3 linked regions of the Coturnix japonica genome follow. The protein of the gene in region 3 interacts with the protein of the main gene of each other region in a pairwise test. Links are inferred from orthologs where the notes say so. Each region holds a gene or a part of one and is shown on either strand. Other genes may lie near its edges.

Region 1 (7,424 bases), on a different chromosome or scaffold from region 3:
GAGCGGCATCAGCCAACACTGTGAATCCCAGTTATTTGACAGCATTCTTAATAACCAGAAGTCTCAGTCAGTGACAGCCCGGAGTTCAGACTGGATTCTGGAGCTGACAGTCCTCCCTCCAGGAATGCACCTTCATCACCAGCAATTCACAGCTTGAAGCAGGGAGCCCTGGGCACATGAGCCATCGAGATGCCCCAGCTTGATTCAACCAACATAACCACAAATGCTGACTGTCAAAGTAAGAGCCCCCCCTCCAAATGGATGCTGAGTGAGGACCCTTCCTTAAAGCTGAAGCACATCATTTCACCAGCAAACCCAGGAGCTATAAATATCAATTCTGATTCCAAAAGTGCTTCAAATACGATTCCCCACATCTCAGCGGGGAGGGAGCCACTTTCACAAGATCACACACAATTGGATCAGAGCTGCAGGGCAGCCTGCTCAGTTACCAGCATCTGCAGAGGGCAGCCGCGCTATCTCACCTGTCCTGCAATTTCTGCCCATGCTTTGCATTAAACGTTCATGTTTCCAGCTTTCAAAGGCTGGGTACCATCAGATGTTGGGCACACTGTCCACCCAGTGACGGTCTCAGACCCCAAACCCAGTCAGGCACAGCGGGTTATGGCTGTACAGCCTGAATGGAGGCACCTGGCACCTTCCAGCAGCCCCAAGGATGGGGGCTTCATACACACATATTCAGAGATCTAAGCACATAATTGAGTTATTACATTGCACAATCATAAAAAAAGCCTAATTTCTCCTTGGATCACTCCTAAGTGTGTCACCATGGCTCCTCAGTAAAAAAACAATACAGACGGATACAATCAGCTTTGAGGAAGATGGGTTGATTTTTGCTCTGCAAAGAAATGATCTCCTGAGGACAGAATAGAAATGCAGCTGGAGCTCTGTCAAGTCTGTAAAACAGAGCGAGGAGATGCCTGGGTCAGCTTCACACGCAGCCTTTTCATTGCAGCTGTAAGAACACATCAGAGAACCGGGATGTGGAACAAGCAGAGCACACTGCTGGGCTCAGCGCTGGGTAAGCACAGCTTTAAATCCTGCAGTACAGTGGGATCCTCTCTGCAATACTTTGGCTCTCCAAAAGCAGTGAGAATGTTTGTAAGAGTATTCTGCATATTAACAAAAAGGACTTTCTACACACATAATAATGAAAGCGCCCTTAGGCTGCCTTGCCAGAACAACGTGATCAGACTTCAGCCTCTGAAAAGCAAAGAATCGCACCCACAACACACAGCAAAACCTGATGCAACAGCAGCAACGCCTGGGAATGAGGCTGGGGGAGCAGCAAACAGTTAAAGCTGTGCTCAAAGCCTCAGCTCCAGCATCACCGATTCTGCAAGTGAAACCCAAAACCAGAGAGAAGAAAAAACCCTGACCCAAAAAGCAACCCGCAGAGCGCTCCGGCTTTCAATGTGGGTCAGTGCAGGTGGCCTCACGGTCTCCTTCACAGCACAGAAGGAACCCCCAAAGCTTTAAACAGGTGTGAGGAAGGAGCAGCCCCACACTCCCCGTGGTGTGTCCCTCTGGGTGTGCATTGCCCCTTAAGCTATGGACTGGAAGCAGCACTGAACGAACCGACGAGCGGAAGCAGTTTGTCGGACCACTTACTGATATGCAGCAGAAGCGTACGTACACCTCAGGGGTTAAGCATGCCTCATTTCAGTGCTGATTTTTAAAGGCCGTGTCAGAGGTGCAGCAGAAGGTTACCTTCTTGCCACGGGGAATGGCAGCAGGCTGGCAGCATGCGTGGCAGTGGCTTCCCGGACTTCATGGGGGCAGTGATTGCTTTGTCTCAGAAGAAATCCTATGGGGCAGGTAAAGGGGGGTTGGTAACGCGGCTGCATTGCAGGAAGGAGGCTCAGCAGCCACAGTGCCACTCCTGATCTCAGCCCGAGCTCTTCCCTAGCAAAACCACCAAACGTGGACCTGCAGCACCCTGTGCTCTGCCCTCCTCACCATCCCGCCTGCCTGGGAACATGAAGGACCTCCAAGATGCTCCAGGTAAAGGTGTGAGCGGAGCAGAGGCAGCTCACTCACAAAGCACAGGAAGCTCAGAGATGAAATGCCAGCTCTGTCCAAGGAGAGGATCTCCATGAAATGGAAATAGCTCAGATTAATGCAAGAACCTGGAAAACACCTCCAGCCGACAGACACGGCACCGGATGCCTCCTGACTATCCCCAGTGCCTGGAAGCACTGTGCCTATGGGATGTCAGCACCTCCAGCCCTGCAGCCACAGCAGCCAGAGCATGAATGAAAGCAAGGAAAAGGAAGCTGGTGTAGATCCTGAATCACGGCAGTGAGGAACCTCATATTCCAAGGTGCAAAAATCCCCGTTTGCAACGTCTGTTCAGGGTGCTGTGTAACACAATCCCACCATCTACCCCCTTCACTGCTTCATATCACACAGTACATTGTCTGAGGATCAGCGTTACATCACTGTGTGGCCTTTCATCCCAATCCCAAACAATGCTGATTTTTCTTTAGAAACACTGAACAGCTCCAGAATTACAAAGGTACTTTCAGGCTACTTTAAGGCTACTTTTAGACACCATTTTACACTCCCCAAACCCCCAGTTCTCAATATACCTGAAGCAAGCAAAAAGCACCCAGCCTTCTTCCAATGTGACACCTCACAGAGCTGCAGCTCACTATGAGCAAACTCCAAGTTAATGGAGAAGCTCATAAATCCTTGTTAGACCGCTCTGCAAACAAAGCTGGGCAAAGGGGGCTGAGAACGCTGCTCCTTCTTTGGGAATGAACACACTCCTCAGGTCTCATGTCACTGAAGGCATTAGCACAGAGCTGTGAGCATCAGCTGGCTAAACGCTTTTATTAATGAAAAACATTAAACTGATGGCAAATCGGATTATAAAACTGATTTATTTAGATCGAGGTGCCCACAAATGATGCCAAGTTACCCGTGACGACGTACCTCAGCTATCTGCAGAACAGGAGACAGCAATTCTTAAGAATTATTTCCCACATTAAAGGAGGAACTAAAAAAGCCTCGAGCGCTGCGACAATTATGGCAATATTCAGCAGTATAAAGACCTGAGGAATCATTTGGAAGCAGGATGACAAACGGCAGCGCACGGAGCTGGTTCAATGTGCTGCTATCCCTGTGCTGGCACCACCTGCTCAGCACCGCACGCATATTAAGCTCCAAGCGGCAGCCAAGATTTGAAGCTGTTCCTGTTTGAAGCCGGCTGTGGGCTCTGCAGGTGGCACTGAAATACAGGAACAAAACTCACCAACCCCTATGAGAGGTCAGAAAGCTGACATGGCTCTATTGCAGCGCTGGGTGCGAGGATGGCACCTCCAAGCTGCACATCCAGGGGTTAAAGCTCACTGATTTCACATGTTTTAGATATGGAAATGTCGATGCATAACCACAACACGACGGCCTCTTCCTAAAATTGCTGTACTTATTAAAAACAGCTGTTGACTACATTCCTAATTAGTACTTCAACCTTGTTATGGTGCCTATACTCAGCCCCAGCAGGGTACAGTGCACATCCCCACAGCCCGTGGAATGCTCAGGCTCTGCTTTTAGGCTCCAGCTGTCCCGCTTATCTGGGAAAAACAACCCTCCCGAGCCACAAGGTCAGTCTGCAGAATAGTCTGTATGAAATGCTGAAGGCTCCGATTTTATTGCCAGGTATCAGAGGCAGCTGAGCCCACCCCGGCAGCTGCACGGGGAGGGAGATGGGGAGGAATGAGAGCGGGCAGGCGATTGGACAGCGGCGATGGGGAAGGAGAAGGCAGCTCCGGGCACAGAACAAAGGCTGCCATTCCCATTCACTACTGAGGATCAGCAGCACCACGGAACGAGCTCTGGACGTGTTACCGAGTGGAAAAGCACAGATCGCAGCCCACGATCTGGCCGCTCAGCTCGGACCCCTCCCCCAAGGGATGACAGCAGCCAACCTCCCTGTACAACGAACCTTCGGCTCCCGGTGCCCTATAGCTCATATCACACACAGCCCAGCGCTTCATACAGAGCCGTTCCCAGCACTCGGTACCGCGCTGCCGCCACATTCCATCCCCACCCCCCGCTCCGCTCGGTACCTGCGCTGAGGAGCTGCATGGCGTGAGTGAAGGACGGGTCCAGGCTGTCCTTCTCGGCCATCAGCTCGGGCAGGTATTTGTTCTCGGGCTCCATCTTGTTGTTTCCCCCTGTCAGCAGCGGGGCGGGGGAGGCGGCGGCGGGGCCTTGCGAGCCAGAGGAGCCTGCCGCCCCTCCGCCGGTCAGCAGCGGCTGCGGCTGCTGGGCCCCACGGCCCCCCCCGCCCCGGGGAGACCGCCGCGGGTTGGGCCCCCCTTGGCGGGATCCCCCGGGTCCCCCCGGCCCGCGGCCCATGCGGGCGTTGGACTCATCGCGGCGCTGCATGCGGGCACGGAGCGGGACGGGCCCGAACGGCGCTGCCACCCCGAGCAGCCGCAGCGACGGGACCGGAAGTGGGAGACCGGAAGTACCGCCCCATCCCTCACAGCGCCCCCACACAGCGCTTCCCGCGCGACCACCCCACGCGCTTCTGCGCATGCGCTGTCGCGCAGCCCCTCGGCTTCACAGGGCGCATGCGCGGCGTGAGAAGGAAGCATTCTCCTTGTGCGCATGCGCAGTGCCGGGCGCGCGATTGGGAGAGCAGCACGTGCGCGGCGCTGTGGCGCCAGGCTCAAGGAGCTTTACGCATGCGCACTGCGGGTCCGACATGGCGGTGCGGGGAGGTGCGATGCGGGACCGGGACCTGGGATATGGGCCTCATGTCTTAGTGCTGCTCTGCCCGGAGCACTGTGTGCTGTGGGCTGGCTGCAGCAATAGGCTTTTATAGGCTGAATATAGGAGCTGCTCTGCTTTAGGGCCATCCCTGCTCCCAGCATTAACAGGAGCACCGGATGTGGATGCGATCACATCCCCATTGCTCCCTGCTGACACAACGTGTTGTTAATCACTGAGCTCTGACACACAGCGTTCGTTCAGCTACAGAACGGACCTGCTGGGCTGCACAGCTCCGTGCTGCGCTGTGCACACGGACGGGAGGGGCCCCGCTGCTGCTTCCTGCGGGCAGAGCACACAGCAGCTCTTGTTCCAGCTGCAGGGCGGGCGCTCCGGGCCCGAACTAACGGGGCACGTGGTTGAGACCGCATCCCTGCCCGGGGCTGTGGCCGGGGCTCGCTGTCTGTCCGTGCTGTCTAACCGGAGCTGCCGTATCAGGACAGGAGGGGATGGGGGGGTTACAGGAGGGCTGTTCCATCGCCCCTCTGCGGGGGGGTGCGCACGTGGTGCGGGCGGACCGGTCCAAGTGCGGCGGGGGGAGGCGGCGGTTAGGGGGAGAGTCGGGCCGTACCAATGCCGGCTGCGTGGGGAGGGTGCGGGGAGCTCCGGCTGCGCAGGGATGAGAGCGGCGGCTCCTCGCGGCTCGGGGACGGGGCTCAACCCGCATCTCGTGTGGCGGAAAACGGCTGCGAGGCTGCGCCGCTCGCACGGCACAGACAGACACGGGATCCCCCCGCGAGGGCACCGAGTGGGCGCTTCCACGCGGGGGGATTGAGGCGGAGCGGGCCGTACCACTGCCGGTTGCGGGGGTGCGTCGCGCCGTGCCAATCAGCGCCGTGCGGGCCGTACCACGGGGCAGGGCGGGGGGGGAGCGGCCTGTGCAGTGTGAGCCGTGTGGCGGCGGGGCTGTGCGCTGTGTCCGCCGCTCGGGCCGCACCGGGGGTCGTTCAGCCTCAGCCCCGTCACGGGCCCCGCCGCTCCCCAACGCCGCCGCCGCCCCTTCCTGCCCCCATCGCGCCCCCCGGCCCGCGGTGTGGGAGGCGCCGGGTCCGCTCGGAAGAACGGCGCCGCGCTCAATGCCCGGGGTGAGGAACCGGGGGGGGCCGGGGTGAGGAGGAGGCCGGGGGAGAACCGAGAGCAGCCCCGGGGCGGGCATGGACCGGGGGGGGCTCTGAGGGTCCGGTGGGGCTGCGGGGGGCCTCGAGGAACGCGGCCTTTGTGCTCCGTGGGACCCCGCCCGGCCCGGGGGGGTTCGGTGTAACGGGGGCTGCGGCCTGGGGGGCCTCGGCGGCGTGCGGGGCTGTGCTGCCCGGACTGCGCCTCGGCCGGTACGTGCGGCCCTTCCTGCCGGTGCTTTGCGGGCCGTGGAGCACGGAGGTGTGTGGGGCTGCGTGTGGGGCTGCGGGGCGGCCCTTCCCCGTTCCCAGCACTGTGCGGATGGGTCGGGGGGGGATATCAGCCGTTACCGGAGTGTTGGGGGGGCTCTGGGTGAGGGTAACCCGACCTGTGCTCAGGGGGTGCTCGGTATCTGTGGGGCGATGTTTATTTGGGGGTGGGGGTGTTGGTGGATGGGGTCTTAGCGTGGGACGGGAGCGTCCCAGGGGTGTGGGGTTTGTGTTCACTTTTGTGTTTGTGCAGTGGTGGGAGAGGGAAGGAGGCCCCAGATGGTGGCGGAAGGGGCTGCCCTGTGCTGCCCTGTGCTGCCCTGTGCTTGGCCTGGAGGTGGGGTGTAAAGGACGAGGAGATTTTCCGGGATCCGGGCTGGAAGTGGAGAGGAGAAAACTGGGAGCGGTGCTGGGGGGGTGCCCTGCAGCTGGGGGTGGAGCTGGGGAGGAAAGGTGGCCAGGATGTAGTGGCTTTCCTGGGGCCTGGCAGGGGGCAGGACCTGCTGTGTAATAAAGGGACAGCACTGCGAGGCCCGGGGAGGGGGAGCAGGGAGTGCTGAGGGTGACTGCGGGATGCTCTGAACGCTGTGCTGCAGGGTCTGCTGTAGGGACACGCTTTGGGGGGGGAGGAAGCGGTTGTGGGGGTGTCAGCACGTGGGGACATGGCAGGGTGCTCCCTGCTGGGCGGTGGCTGTGGCTCGTTGGCGTGGCTGGCCGAGCTGTGTCCTCCCGGGGCAGCTGTGTGTTCATTGCCTGCAGCGTGAGGAGGCAGAAAGTTGGCTTTGAAAGGCTGCTGTATAAATGGAAACCGGCTTCAAAACTCCCCAAATGAGCCAGTCAGGTTCTGACTCAGAGCTGCAGTTAGTATTTAAAGAAGAAAAAAAAAAAAGATAAAACCACCACTGGCATCAGCCAAAAAACTCTATCTTCTTATGACTCAACGTATAGAGATACTTCGGTTTAGTGAACTCAGTTATTGGAAAGAAAAGATCAGCCTTAACTCTGAGTTAAAGTAGCAGGCGGTGGATGCTCTGAGGATGCAGCCCTTGTCCTGTGCTGTTCCCTGCACTGCATCCCTGCAGGGCTGAGCTGTGGGTGCAGCTGTGACGCCGCACTTTGCCCCATGAGCAGCACGGTGCTGGCTGCCCTTGGTGCTGGCTGGCCTTGGCCCGGGGCCGGCTGGGCCCTGCCTGCCCTTGGCTGCCAGGCACAGCTGAAGGCAGCTCCTGGGATGCTGCT
Region 2 (7,225 bases), on a different chromosome or scaffold from region 3:
GCTAACTGCTGCCGGATATCCACTCTCAGTGCTGTCAGCAGGAAGAGAAGACGCAGGTCAAAGAACTTGACTTCATGAGGAAGGCTCCTCTCGTTGTAGAGTTTGATGCGCTTTGTCAGGCCCACTGCCAGCCGGGCTTCAGCTGTCAGCTCCTGTGCTCTCGGACTGCTGAAGACAATGTTGCAGAGGCATTTGAGGGATTCCAGGATGACCTCCAAGTCCGGGACCTCTCGGATGAGCTCCTCTGAGTAATCAATGCCAGCATGCCTGGATAGGGTCTTCAGCCCTTCCTCGGTGCTGAAAGGCTCAAGGCAGTATTTGTCCCGTGACAGGATGCGGATGCTTTCCAAGCACGTGACCTGGCAGGATGGCTGGAGCTCTCTCTCCAGAAACTTGATCAGCAACTGGGCCATTTTCTGCGTGGTTAGAAACAAAGAATGCCACACATGCTGACACTTCACAGTGCAGCCCCAACGCAAGGTAGCATGCTGTAACACCTAGGAGCATCACCTAGATACAAAGCATCATCTAGATACAGGCCTTCTAACAGGCAGCTCTCAAAGCGTTTGCTTCTGGCACCTGATGCTGACCCAAGTCAAGCAAGGACAACCAGCAAGAGACAAAGAATGGCTGGGGAGTGCTGTCAGAATTAAGTGAAGAATAGGAACAGGCAGCTGCTGCTGAGTGAGTGAACTACTGCTTATTTTAGCTTCACCCATGGTTAGGATGGTTTTGGCTAATATGGATTACCTGACAGCTGCAATAAGCTAAGAGAACAGTGCAAAAAAGTCCCTTATATCTTCACTGAGAAGCAGCACTCAGTTCAACAGCAGTGGTTCAGCCTCACCCAGAGCATTAAGACTAGAGAAGCTTCTGCTTTGGGTGCTCCAAACAGGCTGCTGAGGCTGACACCAGAGAACTGCTGTGGGAGGGGAAAAAGAACTTAATGGGTTCAGAATTGTGTGTGATGTGGTAAGAAAGGAGGGGAAAAGACCTCAGAAGATTCAAATAAAAAGGACCTCCCATAAATTTCAGTGCTGTCTGGAGACCTACTACCCCTTCATAGGTACAGACTGACAGCTCCAGTAACACTGATTTACCACAGCTGAAGATATAACCCTTGTGGATAACAATAACATACATGATAGCAAACATGGAAAAGTACAAGAGCGAAAGGTAAAGCCTCACACAACCCAGTGCAGCTAGGTTGTAACTACACATAGCAACACGTCACTCCACCATTAATCCCCTGCTTCCACACACGACCCACCACAAAACTGGTCCAGATGGAGAATAACAGAGATAGAAGAAAAATGTTCTTTCCTAAAGCAGATCCTACCAAGCATATCTGCAGTGCAGCCGTGCAAAGGCCTGCCCCAGCACAAGAGAAATGCCACGAGTGGAAATGGACAGGGGTATTTCTTTCCACTGAGTGCCAGATTATTCCAGCTTAAAGGGTTTGTTAATAGACAGCTTTGGTCAAATCCTGCAGCTCGCTCACAGCAGAAGCACTTACCCGCATGCTGCTGTTATCTTTGCTTAGCAGACTGCACCATTTACACACACACACACACACACACACACACACACACAGGATCATGCTTCTCATGCATGCTGCTGAAGCCATATGCATCACCAAACCCAAAGGGATTGCTAATGTTGGAAGAATACTGATTTTTATCCCCAGCCACCATCTACAGGACAACAAGAACAAGAAGCCAAAGAGCACGCCTACCTTCCTCTCCTCCCGTTCCTCATCATCAAAGGTAAAGCATTGAGATTTCTGTAGAGCAGAAAAGAAAGTATGAGTTTAAAAATCCACAAATCTGCCTTTCCCAAACAGGGAATAAGCTTGGAAAGCAACTCTGAAAAGCACTCTATAAAGACAAGTAAGCCTTCTCAAGAAGTCTTTACCAGCACAGGGAATCAAAGAGGCAAAGAGTGTTAAAAAACCTATGAATACTGCACACCTCTTTAACAAACAGCATAGGTAGGAGCCAGACACAAGGACAGTTTTTCCTGTTGCTGAGAGCTTTGCTTCATTATTGTCTTCTCTGTTCAACACTGTTTGTATCCAGCAACTTCAGCTACATTTTAACAAGCAGGGAACGAACCTCATTTGAAAAGCCCAGATACAGCCCATGCTGCCAAGTCAGAATTGTTTTCCTTCTCTTTCATGCCTGAAAAACATTCGATGAACACCCCATACTCTCTTCTGCTGGCTCAGTGGTGGACACCACATGTCACAGGCCAAAGCTGTGCCCATCTGATGGACCAGCTTAATTTTATATACTGCAGCTGTGAGGTGGGTATTCAATACATTCCAAATATCCCATAACTCATAGTATAGTTTGGGTCTTAAGGGACCTTAAAGATCATCTGAATTCCAACCCCTTGCCATGGGCATGAACACCACAAGCTCAGGTTGTCCAAAACCCCATTCAGCCTGGCCTGGTATCCACAGCTTCCCTGGGTAAACTTGATTACGCTTAATGACTCTACCAAGCTATGTGTACGCTCTTCTCCCCTTTGTTATTGTTTCTTTTCCTTCCTAATAGAAAGCATCACTTCCTTGCTACTTGCAAACAAATCCTTATGTTCTTCCTACAGCATCCTGAAGTAGGACTGTTATTCAGCTCACGTTCTTCACACACAGCCAATTAAAACAGGTGAACGCTCCACTCTATGCAGAACGGAGCTTTCCCTTGCATCTGTGAACCTTCTCATGTCAGTCAGAACGTTAGTCAGACTGACCTCGTGCACAAAGGCATTTCCAGAGCTTCTTTGCAGGCTCCTGTAATCTCATTCACAAATATTTCCATAACACACCTGTGGGTTTGGCTTTAGCTGTATTCTATTCCCGACAACCAGGAACTGACTGCATATTTAATAGTGAATTAAATATATATATATACCTAGAGAAGAATATAACAGCACCTGCTTTTGTAGTAAAAAAAACTATGCAAGGAAGTCGGTTGGCTTATAATCAGTTTAATCTCTTCAGCTCATTTCTCCCAGACAAGCTAGCAAAATGACTGACATCCTCACAAGTTTCCTATGCTCTACACGCTGACAAAGAAACCAGCTGGAGGAATTCAAAGCATTGGATTTAGTGCCTCAACACGGTTGCACAACAAATGCCATTTACTATCCTAATTTCTCCAGCACACCAGCTGCTGCCAGCAACGCTAATCCTGCAGACCAACCTTTTAAAAGGGACCTGCTGTTTCAAAACCGACTGCTGGAAACAGTTAGTGCAGGAAGGGAAGTGCACATGCTTGTAAGATAAGCACAGGTTTTCCCCACCAGCTTCCCTCCTACTTCAGAATGGTGCAGAATGAGTCACAGATCTGCAGGGCCAGCCCTAGCCTGGTGGAAACCCTCTGAAGGAAATTTCCCTGGCAGACAGTTTCAAAAGGGAACTACCCCTGCAGATGATCTAAGGTTAGAGTCACTCGCACTTCAGCTTCCTGACCCGGTCTTTTTCATGTTCTACACTCATTATTTCATGCGCCAGCTTTCAGATCAGGCACCCTAATCCAATCCCAGCATCCATTCACACCAACTCCTAATTGTCTTTTGCTTACAAATCACAACAATCCTACCTGCAGCTCCTCCCTAGGTGTGAGTTTTATTACCTCCAAACCTTGCCTAGCATCAAGGCTCCTCCTACTCCTCATGCCCATGATTATTCCCCTACCGGGTTTAACTTGCAATCTGGATAATAAAGAAAATCCTTCCCATGTACTTTTCTTCCAGCATAAACAAGATAAAGGGAGGCTTCTTAGCTGCTTCCTAGTAAAGCATCATTAAGAAGCAGCTTGCAAGTAACAAAACAAAGCAGTCTATGACATCTCCAGGGCAATAATGCAGAGACAGATGCTCAGAGGAGATGGGATAGCTGGGCAGCACTGTGAACCCATAACACGGCCCAACCTGCTTCCAGGCTTGCTGACAGCAGCAGGTGACATCAGGCTGAGGTGTGATGCTCACTCACCTCCTGGTTGTAGATCTGAAGCACCTTGAGGACCGCGTCTTGCTCCCCGCTTTCCACCGTGGCCACTACGGTCCTGAGCTCCATGATACCAACAGCTCAGCTACAGCAGGATGGGAAGCAGAGAGGAAAGGCTTCCAGAGCTCCTGGATAACAGCGGTGCAAAGGGACCTCGATCCTTGAGAACTGAGAGGCAGTGAGAAAGGGGGTGGGGAAAAAGAAACAAAAATCAAGCGAGCCGGCTCACTGCTGCGTCCATAAAGCAGACGGGTGAACCACGTACAGCCTCTCTGCCCCTCTAATCCTCTTCTTTCCTCTTTGCTTTCCGACGTTTAATGCATGCCCTCCCAGCACAGCGCTGGGACACCCCCCCCTCCCCACCCGAGGATTACCGCAGCAGATCACGGTGCTTCCCGTAATAGCTCCCCGCTCCTCACTACCCAACAGGGAAGGCGAAGGCCCAGCGGCCATTTTACAGAGGCGGAGCTCCTCCTGCCGGGCGGAGCCGCCTTTCGCCGTGTGCCGCCATGGCGGACTGGGGGCGAGGTGAGGGGGAAGGAGTGAGGGGCGCGCTGAGGGGCTGCTAAAGGGGGCGCCCCGCCGCCATCTTGGGGCACCCCGCCGCCATCTTGGGGATGTGCCATGCTCCCCAGTCGGGATGATGAGACGCGTTTCTTTTCTCCTCAGGACAGAATGCGGTTGCTATGGAGGATATGCTGGACGTGGAGAACAAGCGCATGACAGACAACCTGGCCAGCAAAGTCACCAGGCTGAAGTCGGTGAGTTGCTGGCGCTGCTATGGACGCTTGCAGGGTCTCAGGGACAACGCAGTTGTGTGGGCTTCCTCAGTGCTGTGGGCATACGATGGCTGACGTGTAGCAGTAGGAGGCAGTGCTGGTCCGTCAGCTGTTGTCATATGTCCAACATAGGGAAGTTTCTGCCAGCTTTCCCAGATTATTTCCACAGCAAAAGGATTCCCACAACCCCAAACTGCAGTGAGTGAGAGGCCTTGTTTTGTGGCTGTGCTTAACAAACCTCCACCACATCCTCTAGTGTGGGCCTAGATGCGTTCCAGGTTGTCTTGGTGTTCATTAACGTCAATTTCCTCTCTTATGCTGTGTAGCTGGCTCTGGATATTGATAAAGATGCTGATGAACAGAACCGTTACCTGGATAGCATGGTAAGGAACCAAAAAAGAAGGGTAAAAAGCATGAATTTCAATGTTGGGACCAGTTTGGTCAAAGGTGGGAGCTTGGAAGCTTAATAGCTTGGAACCTTAATAGCAGTGTATGGCCTTGGAGTATCTGAACTGGATATTTGTTCAGCCTAGAAATCAAAAGAGTGGAGAGTTGGAATGAGAGATGTAAAGACAAGAGATCTTAAAGGAGAAGCCCCGAATCAGCACGCAATTGTGCTTCTATTAGAGAAGATTTAGGGATATTTCAGGAGAAACGTGAGCAAAAAGTGGGAGGTAGTTTATGAGAAAGGAAAACAGACGTGGAGTCGAAATGATAATGAATTGCTTTAAGACTTGTTTGCTGCCACCTGGTGGTGTTACAAGTGTATGCTGCCCCATGCTGAAAGAAAAAAAAGAGAACTAATGGAAAGAAACTGCGTGGTTTTGGTGCTTTTTAGCCTGCCCTGGCAGGCATTAACGGTGCTAGCTTTATGTAGAGATACTTGGTATGCAGTATTTACCTGTGCCTTTGCCACGAGCGCAGGCAGGGAAGTTCCTCATAAGAGAGACACGATAGGTACAGAGATACAGGCAGTTACAGCGCAGCTGCTGCAGTTGTTCTTTAAGCAGGAAGCTGGACCCTCCTCATGGGCTGCCTCTCCAGTTTGAAATGCTGCTTTTTGCACTTTGTTTCTCCTCTAGGATTCGGATTTTCTGAGTGCTACTGGGCTGCTGACCGGCAGCATGAAGCGATTCAGCACCATGACACGCTCTGGGAGGGAGAACCGCAAGTTACTCTGCTTTGTTTCTGTAGGACTGGTTGTTGTTTTCTTCATCCTCTACTATCTTGTGTCCAAAGCTGGGACTTGATCTTGGTTCTTGCGTAGTTTTACTGAACTAAATCAATGTGATTGACAGACTTGTTCAGCGCCTTTCTAGATCTGCCCTGCTTTGGGATCCTTGGGACTTCCCAACAGACATTCCAGATAACTTTTAACCAGTGTTTTGTCACCATTCTGGCTGGTCTTGGAGGTAAAATGAGTATTTCACTGACAGCACATCCACCAGGCTGCTCTGGATGACACATCCCACCGCACATATAGACCCTGCAGCACCCAGACCTGGAAGAGCTCAGTCAGCCCCTGGGTGATGCCACTGTTGTTCAGCTCCTGCAGCATCACATCTGTCACCTTTCCTTGGCAGCTGCCTGCCCTGCAAAGACCATTCTAACTGGATTTCCACATATCACCTGATTTTGATGTTCATGCCTATATCTCTCGTCTCATCCATGTCTTGCAGCCAGTTCTTAAGGGATACTTTTGTCTTACCTCCATTACTAATACCTGGCATATCTGACAAATCCAGATGGTTATCAATACAGGTTTAATAAATCAGAGGTTTGGAAGCTGCAAAGTTTAGGCTGTAATGATTTATAAACTTTGGAATGATCAATGTGTGACTTAATCCAGCATGACCCCAATAAACGTGTGCCTGGGCTGGGTATGCCCTCATCCCCCTACTACCTAGCAGGAACTCAGGTGTTCAAGTGCTCCTCTGCACCCAACCCATAGGGCCCCATACATTCCCACCCCCAGGCATTCAAACACAGGGACAAGGCTTAACTTGCATGCATTTAATTTATTGTCCTCAACTGTGACACATGGGCTGCGTGCAGCATGTCCCTAGTGCAGGGGGATGTCACCAAGGGAATGGAATGATGTGACACGTCATGGGGGCTGCAGGGACAACATGGGATTGGCATCGATCACTGGGGTGGGGAGAGACTGTGGGGTATAATTGGGGCTGGGAGGGGAACACAGGGTGACCTTACAAGGTGCGGTATGTCTGTATATATGTGGGAACACATGGGATGCCCCTAAATACACAAGGTAAAAGCCTGTCTTTGTGGCAGGATCCAAGACATTCCCCTCCCAGAGATACCCCCAGCTCTGCTGTGCCCCATGGTCACATAGATGACTCCTGTGCCCCCTCACCTGTGCATCAACTCATGTCCCCAGGTGTTTCCTGGGTGCCCTCAGGTCCTACCCACGCTC
Region 3 (7,304 bases):
ATCCAATTTAATGGTGTACAGATACATTCCTAATAAATTCAAAGATCTAAGCAGTTGTTTTCCAGGTTTAGATTTGTTATCACATGCAATCCAATGATACTGAAAGTAAAACACACAGCAGCTTGCTTACCTTGGCACACATTGTGCTCACTTTGCTCATACCCAGATGCACACTGAATTTGATGAGTTGGGTTTGGAGGGGCACGGTGAGGATCAGCTGGAGTCCGGCGAATGACGTTGTTTCGACCACTAGTGGATTCAGCTGCTGCTTCTTCTCTCTCATTTACAATAATTTGGGCTGTTCTAGGTAGACAGAGGTATCCTCCATAGTGGTTAACACATTTCATCCCACCTTTACATGCATCTGGGACTATTTCACATTCATCAATATCTGTGGTTAGCAACAACACAAATCATGCTTTTAACAGTAGAATCCTCTGCAACAGCCATTAATAAAACAACACAAAGAGGCATGCAAGCACACTCCTTGTTTGAAACAGGAATGTGGCAATACTGAAATAATTCCAACAGCAAGTTTTTCTTGGGAAATGATTTACTGTACCTTTGCACCGTTGCCTAACAGGATCCCATTCATAGCCATCTGTGCATTGCTACAGATAAAAGAAGAAAGAAAATGTTGGTAAAAAATATTGTGCTATACAGGATTCTTTATTTTGGAAAAATAAGCACATTTCAATGAACTCCAAGCTCTACACTGGGAGAAATGCAATGTTTCTATACCTTGGAAAGCTAGAAAAATGGCTATTAGTAGAGAACTACTAGGCAGGCACAAGAAAAAGCATGTACAGATAGAGGCTTTATCTTAGGAAGGTCCCCATATTGTTTGCAGAGTAGACAAGGCTTTAATGAGAATGGGGGAAGCATCACTTTCTTCTTGTCTTCTTGCTATTTTGTTTTAAAGCATCTGCTTTAAAGCATCTGCTTTAAAACAATATATCAGAATAGATATTTGTTCAATAGAAACAACTGACCCAGCTGACCAGGATGGAAAAAATCTTCTCAAAAAAGAAAAAGTAAGTTTTTCTTCTTTGATCTCATACATTGCCTTCCAAGAAGTGAACGTCTTTTATTCCAGGCATAATTATGCCAGAGGGATTAATGGACCTCAGTACCCCTGTATATCATCTTTTCTCCCATTAGCACGGGGAAAGATCCCATGACAGCTGGAAATTCATTCACATGCACTTTAACCATGTGACTCCAGGAACTGCAGTCTAGGAAGAACAATTTATATTGTGAGACGTACGATAACCGGTTAGAGTTTATAGCAGCAGGACTACTTATATAAATAAAACTTGACAGAATTCAAACAAGACTGAACTCAGCAACTATTCATATCAATGCAGACTGGTAACATCAGGAAGAATTTTAAATATTCTGCCTTGCAGTTTAAGAAAATACCTTGGTTAACCCTCTGCCCAAAAGCGCTGAAGTGTCTAGAATGCAGTAAATTTTAATCACCAATTACATTTCTAGAAATTACTTAGTTAAGCATCACAATGTTGCCAGCTACTGCAGACATTTAAAACATCAATGAATCAACTGCTCTGCACTATGCAGGTGCATATGCACCCTGCACTGCTTAGCGTGTTATTTTAATGGTCTTATAGAAAAAAAGAACTGAGTCAATTAATGTAACTAGCCAGAGTCCAGCAAGCTAAGTGTTACTGCAACTCCTCTGCCATATAGAACCGTGTAGGTGACAAATTTAATCTTCTGGTGCTGAGATTCACTGGTTCCATGTACTATCCTCAAGCTATTTTGAGAAACTTGTTATAGACACTGACTCAGCAACAGGACTGAAAATATGTTCTTCATTCACAGGTGACGCTAGCCATCTGCCAGATCTGGCAGCAACTTGGAAGTAAAAGCCTACAATATTAGGAAGGGGTAAGCAGACAGTAAATTGCGTATTACAATTCTCTATCTCTAAAGGAATGACTACATACTGAGTTGACAACACCAAAGTTACTGTAGCTATGAAAACCCAAACCCAAAGGAAAACAGCTAATTCATGTATCTACTGAATCATCCAGTTCCTGTTGATGCACAACAGGAGTGCAGTCTATTTAATAGGAAGGAGCCAAGTCCAACTACTACTGCAGCCGAAGGGAGTTTCACAATAGAAGGGGATTTGGTCCTAAATGAATATAATGTACGTATGAGAAACAGTAGCATCCTAAGGGTAAAACTTCCAACAGTAAATTTTCATTGTTAAATAATTTTGTATGATTAAAAGCCTAATGATCACTGAGGCACCTGAATGCTATGACCTCTTTGAAAACATAATACCAGAATCCAAGTCACACAGGCATGCCAGAAATCTACTGGTACAAAAAGAACCATTTACACTTACCACAAAAATGCTATTTTTAATGTGTAACAAATGGTAAAAAAGAAGGGGGCAGTATCCTTCTATTAGTGTAAATGTTCAAAATGTACTTAATTCATCTGTTTCCACTTAGGGGGACTTAAAAAGACCCCAGAAGCCTCTAAACAGAAGTCCTCCCAACCACCTATTGCTTCTACAGCCCAGTCTCCTATAGCAAGGGTCCAGCTCTGCAACCTTTACTTGCCTGAGCCATCCCACTGACTTCAGTAGGATTACTTGCAGAAAACACAATCTCAGCCTTTGGCTGTGGCTCTGTAGCTTTCTGTATGTGTGCAGAATTTTCTGCTTGTGTGGCATTGCGCTGATGTCTGTATACATATTCCGAGGTCCACCCATATGAAGCAAGTTGCAAGGATTACAGCTGTAATCAGATGTAAAAATGCGGGTTTTTTTTTTTTTACCAGCCCAAGCCGATGTAATTGCCACTCCTCCTATGACATGCACTATTGAAGCCAAGGAGCGAGCACAGCAAGTTTAGAACCATGAATTTCCAAAGAGGACTTTAAACTGCTTATGCTGTCACCTGGCTGTAAGGAGAATCTGCTTTCAGTTTTCCTGTAGACACTGATCAAGGTGGGAAGAAAAAATAAATAAATCACTGGTCTGAAGCAGCTCGGCAGCTAACATTCATGCAACCACCCCAGGAGCTAAATGCTTCATTAAGAGCAGTGCATTTTTTTTTAAGTACTTGCATGTTGTTATAAGCAGTTTGAAACATCCAAAGGAAAACACAGAAGAATGTTTGACCTAATTATCCATCAAGTTCCAAGTACTTCAAACGAGGGTCCCAGGGACCTTTTCTCGAGGAAGGCGGATACAAAAGCTAAGCCTCATAGTTCCTCTCAGTTCATCAGGCACAGCACACAGATAAACTTTTCAGAACAGGGAGCTGCAGCCCATTTTGCTCAGCCTTGCAAACTTCAGCATTTCAACTACCCCTTCGGCATAGGAACAGCTTATTTTAGGCTAGCACTCAAACTCAAACAACTTTGCATTACATGCAACGCGTTGGCAAGAAGTTTGGCTTTTCTTAAGGATCATTTAGAAAAGAATCCCTGCAAAGCAGCAATCATCTCCCGCTCTATTAAACCTTACCGTGTACGTTATGGTTTCCTCAGTTTCCTGTGAATGTACTGTAATAAGAATGAGAGCAGCCAAGAACATAGCTGTCAACATCATGAACCTGGAAGGCAAGAAAAACAAATAAACCAGTGGTATTTTTAGCGTTCCTTTGCTAGAAAACTCAGTGTCCAGCGCGCCGCGTGTCCTACCTGGACACCGCGGCCAGCACGCAGCCCCTTCCCGAGCGGCAGCTGTGGGGAACCTGATCCAGCTGAAAAACAGTCACAGCGATAATTACAATTAATAACAAACCGCCTTTAAAACGACACAGCGCTTAATGGCACGCCGGGCGAGGAGCACGCAGCTCGGCACCCTCGCCAGCCCGTATCTCGGCTGCTAAAGCGATTTCTCCAGGGAGCCGCCGACGGTCGGAGGGGACCCCGGGGCGGCACCGACGGTCACCGCCGCGCCGGGCACCTGCCGAGCTGTGTCCGCCCTGCCCCAAGGGGCAGCGGGGCGCATCCATCCCCCCGCCATCCCGCTCTTACCTGCGGCGGGGCCGGGGCGGCTGCTCCCGTTGGCACAGCTACCGCGGTGGCTCGGCCCCGTCCGTCCGCTGGCTCCGCTGCGGTACCGGCACCCACCGCCCCCCCGGACCTTCAGCTAAATAGAAACGGTCCCGGCTCCTACCGGGGCCCCCGGACGCCCCCTACCGAACCCTCAGCGGCCGGAGCCCTGCTGCTGGGCGGGGCGGGGCGGGGCGGCAGTGGATCCAGGGCGGCACTGGATCCAGGGCACGGCCCTTCGCCGCTCTTCGCGCCCGCTGTCCCGCCCAGACGCCGCCGGCCGAAGCGCCCTGAGGCGGAGCAGGTGCGGGGCTGCGCCGCCATGTTGCGGGCAGGAGGGACGGGGCCGCGTCCTGAGGGAGCGGAACGAGCCCTCCCGCCCCGGTAGCCGCAGCCGGTCCGCAGGCACCAGCTCCATCCCGCCGGGTGTGTTCTTGCCCGGTGTTCTCGCTCGATGTCCCAGCAGACAGAGCCGTGGAGGGCACGGTGAGGAGCGCGCCGCAGGCTTCGGCTCCCGGCGCGAGGCGGGCAGCTGCCGGGCGTTGCCTGGCTGCCGTCCCCCTGCTCCCGCCCTCCCGGAGCTGAGGAGAAGCCGGGGCGGGTGAAGCCGAACTGCAGGAGCGCAGAACGTGCTGAGCTGGAAGGGGCCCGCGAGGGTCAGCGAGTCCGACCCCGGCTCCAGACAGCACCCAAACCCTGCGCCTGACAGCGGTGTCCCTCGGGGCCGTGCCCGCTGCCCTGGGGCCTGTACCGCGCTCACCGGCCTCTGGGGCACAGCCCTTCACAGAATGACCCGGGTTGGAAGGGACCTCAAGGATCATGTAGTTCCAACCCCCTGCCTAGAAGGGCACCAAACATACACCTTTACTAGATCAGGTTGCCCAGGGCCCTGTCCAACCCGCCCCCTCCTTCGTGCAAGTTCCCTGCAGCGGGACTGAGCAGAATCATGGAATCGTTAGGGTTGAAAAAGACTGCTCCATCCCCACCGTACCACTAAACCCTCAGTGCCACATCCACCCTCTTTATTGAACACCTCCAGGGATGGTGGTGACCTCCATGGCCAGCCTGTGCCAGTAATGAAGAAAACAGCAGGGAAAAAAAAACGGCCTGAGGAAGGCAGCAAATGTGCTGTGCGTCCCAACATCTGCAGTATAGGAGCCCAAATAGCGCACGAGTGGGAAACCTAGAGCAACACTCACTTGACAGTGCTACTGATGGAAGCAGCCCTCTGAGGCTGGCCCCTAATTACTTGTTTCTGGCTCCTTCTGCAAATGATGCACTCTATTCCCCGTGGCTTTCGTGAACTCTGTCACGTCTCAGCCTTTGCTTCCTATCAAAACCACGGGTTTTCATACTTCCTTTAACATGCTGTTTTTATGACTGCGTGTTTGTGTTTTGTTTTCCTGGCAGGGCTTGTTGCCACTCCCTTTTGTCCTCAGAAACCCAAGGATAGGTAGGCTGAAGGAAGACTGTGTGTGGTCAAAATGTCACTGCACTCCAGCTAATTCTGGCTGCTGGAACTGTCCCTGGGGGCACTAGACAGCTGGACATAATTTAGAGCAGATTGATATTAGAGACTAGCCTAAAAATACGGAAAACAAAATTGCACTTTAATCTCTTCTACTCCCAGATCTGACCCCCTTTTTCCTGTTTCAAATGCAGAGAAAATCAAGCTCACAGCAAGTTTAAGCAACTTGTATTCGACAGCTCAAGAGACTATCAGTGTCAATTTAAGATGATTTCTTTTCCCCAGTATGTCATATCAAGTAACACTGGCGCTGTCTGAACTAAGAGCTGGGATGGTGGAGATGTTATTTTCATGTTGGACTCACAGGAATTTTAGCACATAAATTATTTTGATAACATGGCAGACTGCCTTTCTGCCACACTTCCTGCAAATGTCAGATATTTTTTTTCCATGTTTCAACCCATAAATGGCACCGTGCTGGTGAAGGATAAATTGTGAACAATTATATGCCTGACTTTATAGCTGATTAAATATGACAAATGTCGAGCTTTTATTTGAGGTAAGATTTTACAAGTTGATCTTTGAGGGAGGTGAGGTGAGCACATCGCTTATGATGTAGGGTGTAACTTTAGCGTGAACTTAATTTGCTAGCAAATTGCTTTCATGTTTTAATAGAAAGCTGATGGAGGTAAACCTGTATTTTCTCGTGTATGGGGGATGTATGATTTCTGTTGTGCCGAGGCCTTTGGCTAACTGGACCAACTTGTAATTTCACATATAGTTCTCTAGCAATGCTCTGTGAGGATATTGAAATACAATGTTGTTGCCATTTCTTATTTTTAACTTTTACTGAAAGCCAAAGCGTGCGGTTTGCATGCAGTTTGTCAGGCAATCCATTTTGCTTCTGCAATTTACAGAGATGTGATCACATATTTTGTATGCTTCTGTAAAGTCCAGTGGAAGTGCGGCTGCTGGGTGTGGTATTGTGTTCTCATCACAGACCTCTGACATGAAAAGAAAATGTGAGAGTGAGAGGGTGAGTAGATGGGGAAGGAGCCCCTGCAGAAAGCTATCTATCTCTTTCATTGCTCCAGTTGTACAGCCACACCAAATCAGGGAACTGATTTCAAGAGTCATAAATCCAGGCCTTAGTTTGCACCACAATTACTGGGAAGTTTTATTTTTCTAAGCAATTTTATCTGGAATTTGGATAGTCTTCCCACTTGTGCTTGTATGGGTACTCGTTCAATTGTGTTCTTTTTCAGAGCAGTTCTTTTCCATTGCTGTGCCTTCCAGTGATTTTCCTTCTCTTGTTCTTTTCTTCTTTGCTCATGCCACATAAGAGAAGCATCACTGGGAGACGTATACTGTAGATGTGTCGTTTCTGTAATATCAAAACTTCCCTTTTCTGGAGAACCAGGAGTGCTGCATACAGCAGCTTAAAGCTGACAGTGTATGAGGTTTCAACCAGTTTGGGTAAAGTAAGGGCTGTCTAGAAGCTTTCCACAGAACTATAATCCATCTGAGGAAAAAAACAGCTTTCTTGATATTTGAAATGTTAACTGGAATGTATAGTTTCCTTTTGATTAAACTATGTTAGTGCAGTTCCTTGCTCTGGCTAAGAGGCAAAATAGAAAAGCCAGAATTCAGATCCAGTATTACCCAGAATATGTTGGAGTCAGTTTCATATCTAGCTTTGTCTTCCTGAGAAGCTTTGTGCAAGTCACTTAATATGTTTCTTGGTGTACTCTTGGTCTACGAAATGGAGCAAATATTTGATGCTTGCACAGGGAAC

The links.
Region 1: the proteins of EFEMP1 (region 3) and KHDRBS1 interact in a two-hybrid assay, tested with the Homo sapiens proteins (2 studies listed by BioGRID and IntAct). The link is inferred for Coturnix japonica from reciprocal best matches to the Homo sapiens genes EFEMP1 and KHDRBS1.
Region 2: the proteins of EFEMP1 (region 3) and RIC8A interact in binary tests that used the Homo sapiens proteins (3 or more experiments, as listed by UniProt). The link is inferred for Coturnix japonica from reciprocal best matches to the Homo sapiens genes EFEMP1 and RIC8A.

What each region holds. Positions count from the first base shown.
Region 1 is NC_029538.1:4,464,512-4,471,935, reverse strand, and holds the start of KHDRBS1 (KH domain-containing, RNA-binding, signal transduction-associated protein 1), read right to left. Parts: upstream 4,503-7,424; 5' UTR 4,414-4,502; coding exon 4,092-4,413; intron 1,826-4,091; exon of another isoform or gene 1,793-1,825; coding exon of another isoform or gene 1,729-1,792; intron 1-1,728. Other genes in the region: PTP4A2 (protein tyrosine phosphatase type IVA 2), read left to right, coding at 5,374-5,885. UniProt on the Homo sapiens protein: Recruited and tyrosine phosphorylated by several receptor systems, for example the T-cell, leptin and insulin receptors. Once phosphorylated, functions as an adapter protein in signal transduction cascades by binding to SH2 and SH3 domain-containing proteins.
Region 2 is NC_029520.1:1,398,878-1,406,102, forward strand, and holds the start of RIC8A (synembryn-A), read right to left. Parts: upstream 4,503-7,225; 5' UTR 4,387-4,502; intron 4,369-4,386; exon of another isoform or gene 4,278-4,368; intron 4,181-4,277; 5' UTR 4,082-4,180; coding exon 3,998-4,081; intron 1,784-3,997; coding exon 1,736-1,783; intron 417-1,735; coding exon 1-416. Other genes in the region: BET1L (BET1-like protein), read left to right, coding at 4,522-4,540, 4,682-4,773, 5,118-5,174, 5,874-6,041; VPS51 (vacuolar protein sorting-associated protein 51 homolog), read right to left, coding at 7,214-7,225.
Region 3 is NC_029518.1:7,140,488-7,147,791, reverse strand, and holds the start of EFEMP1 (EGF-containing fibulin-like extracellular matrix protein 1), read right to left. Parts: upstream 4,133-7,304; 5' UTR 4,024-4,132; intron 3,747-4,023; 5' UTR 3,685-3,746; intron 3,597-3,684; 5' UTR 3,593-3,596; coding exon 3,509-3,592; intron 612-3,508; coding exon 563-611; intron 392-562; coding exon 131-391; intron 1-130. UniProt on the Homo sapiens protein: Binds EGFR, the EGF receptor, inducing EGFR autophosphorylation and the activation of downstream signaling pathways. May play a role in cell adhesion and migration. May function as a negative regulator of chondrocyte differentiation.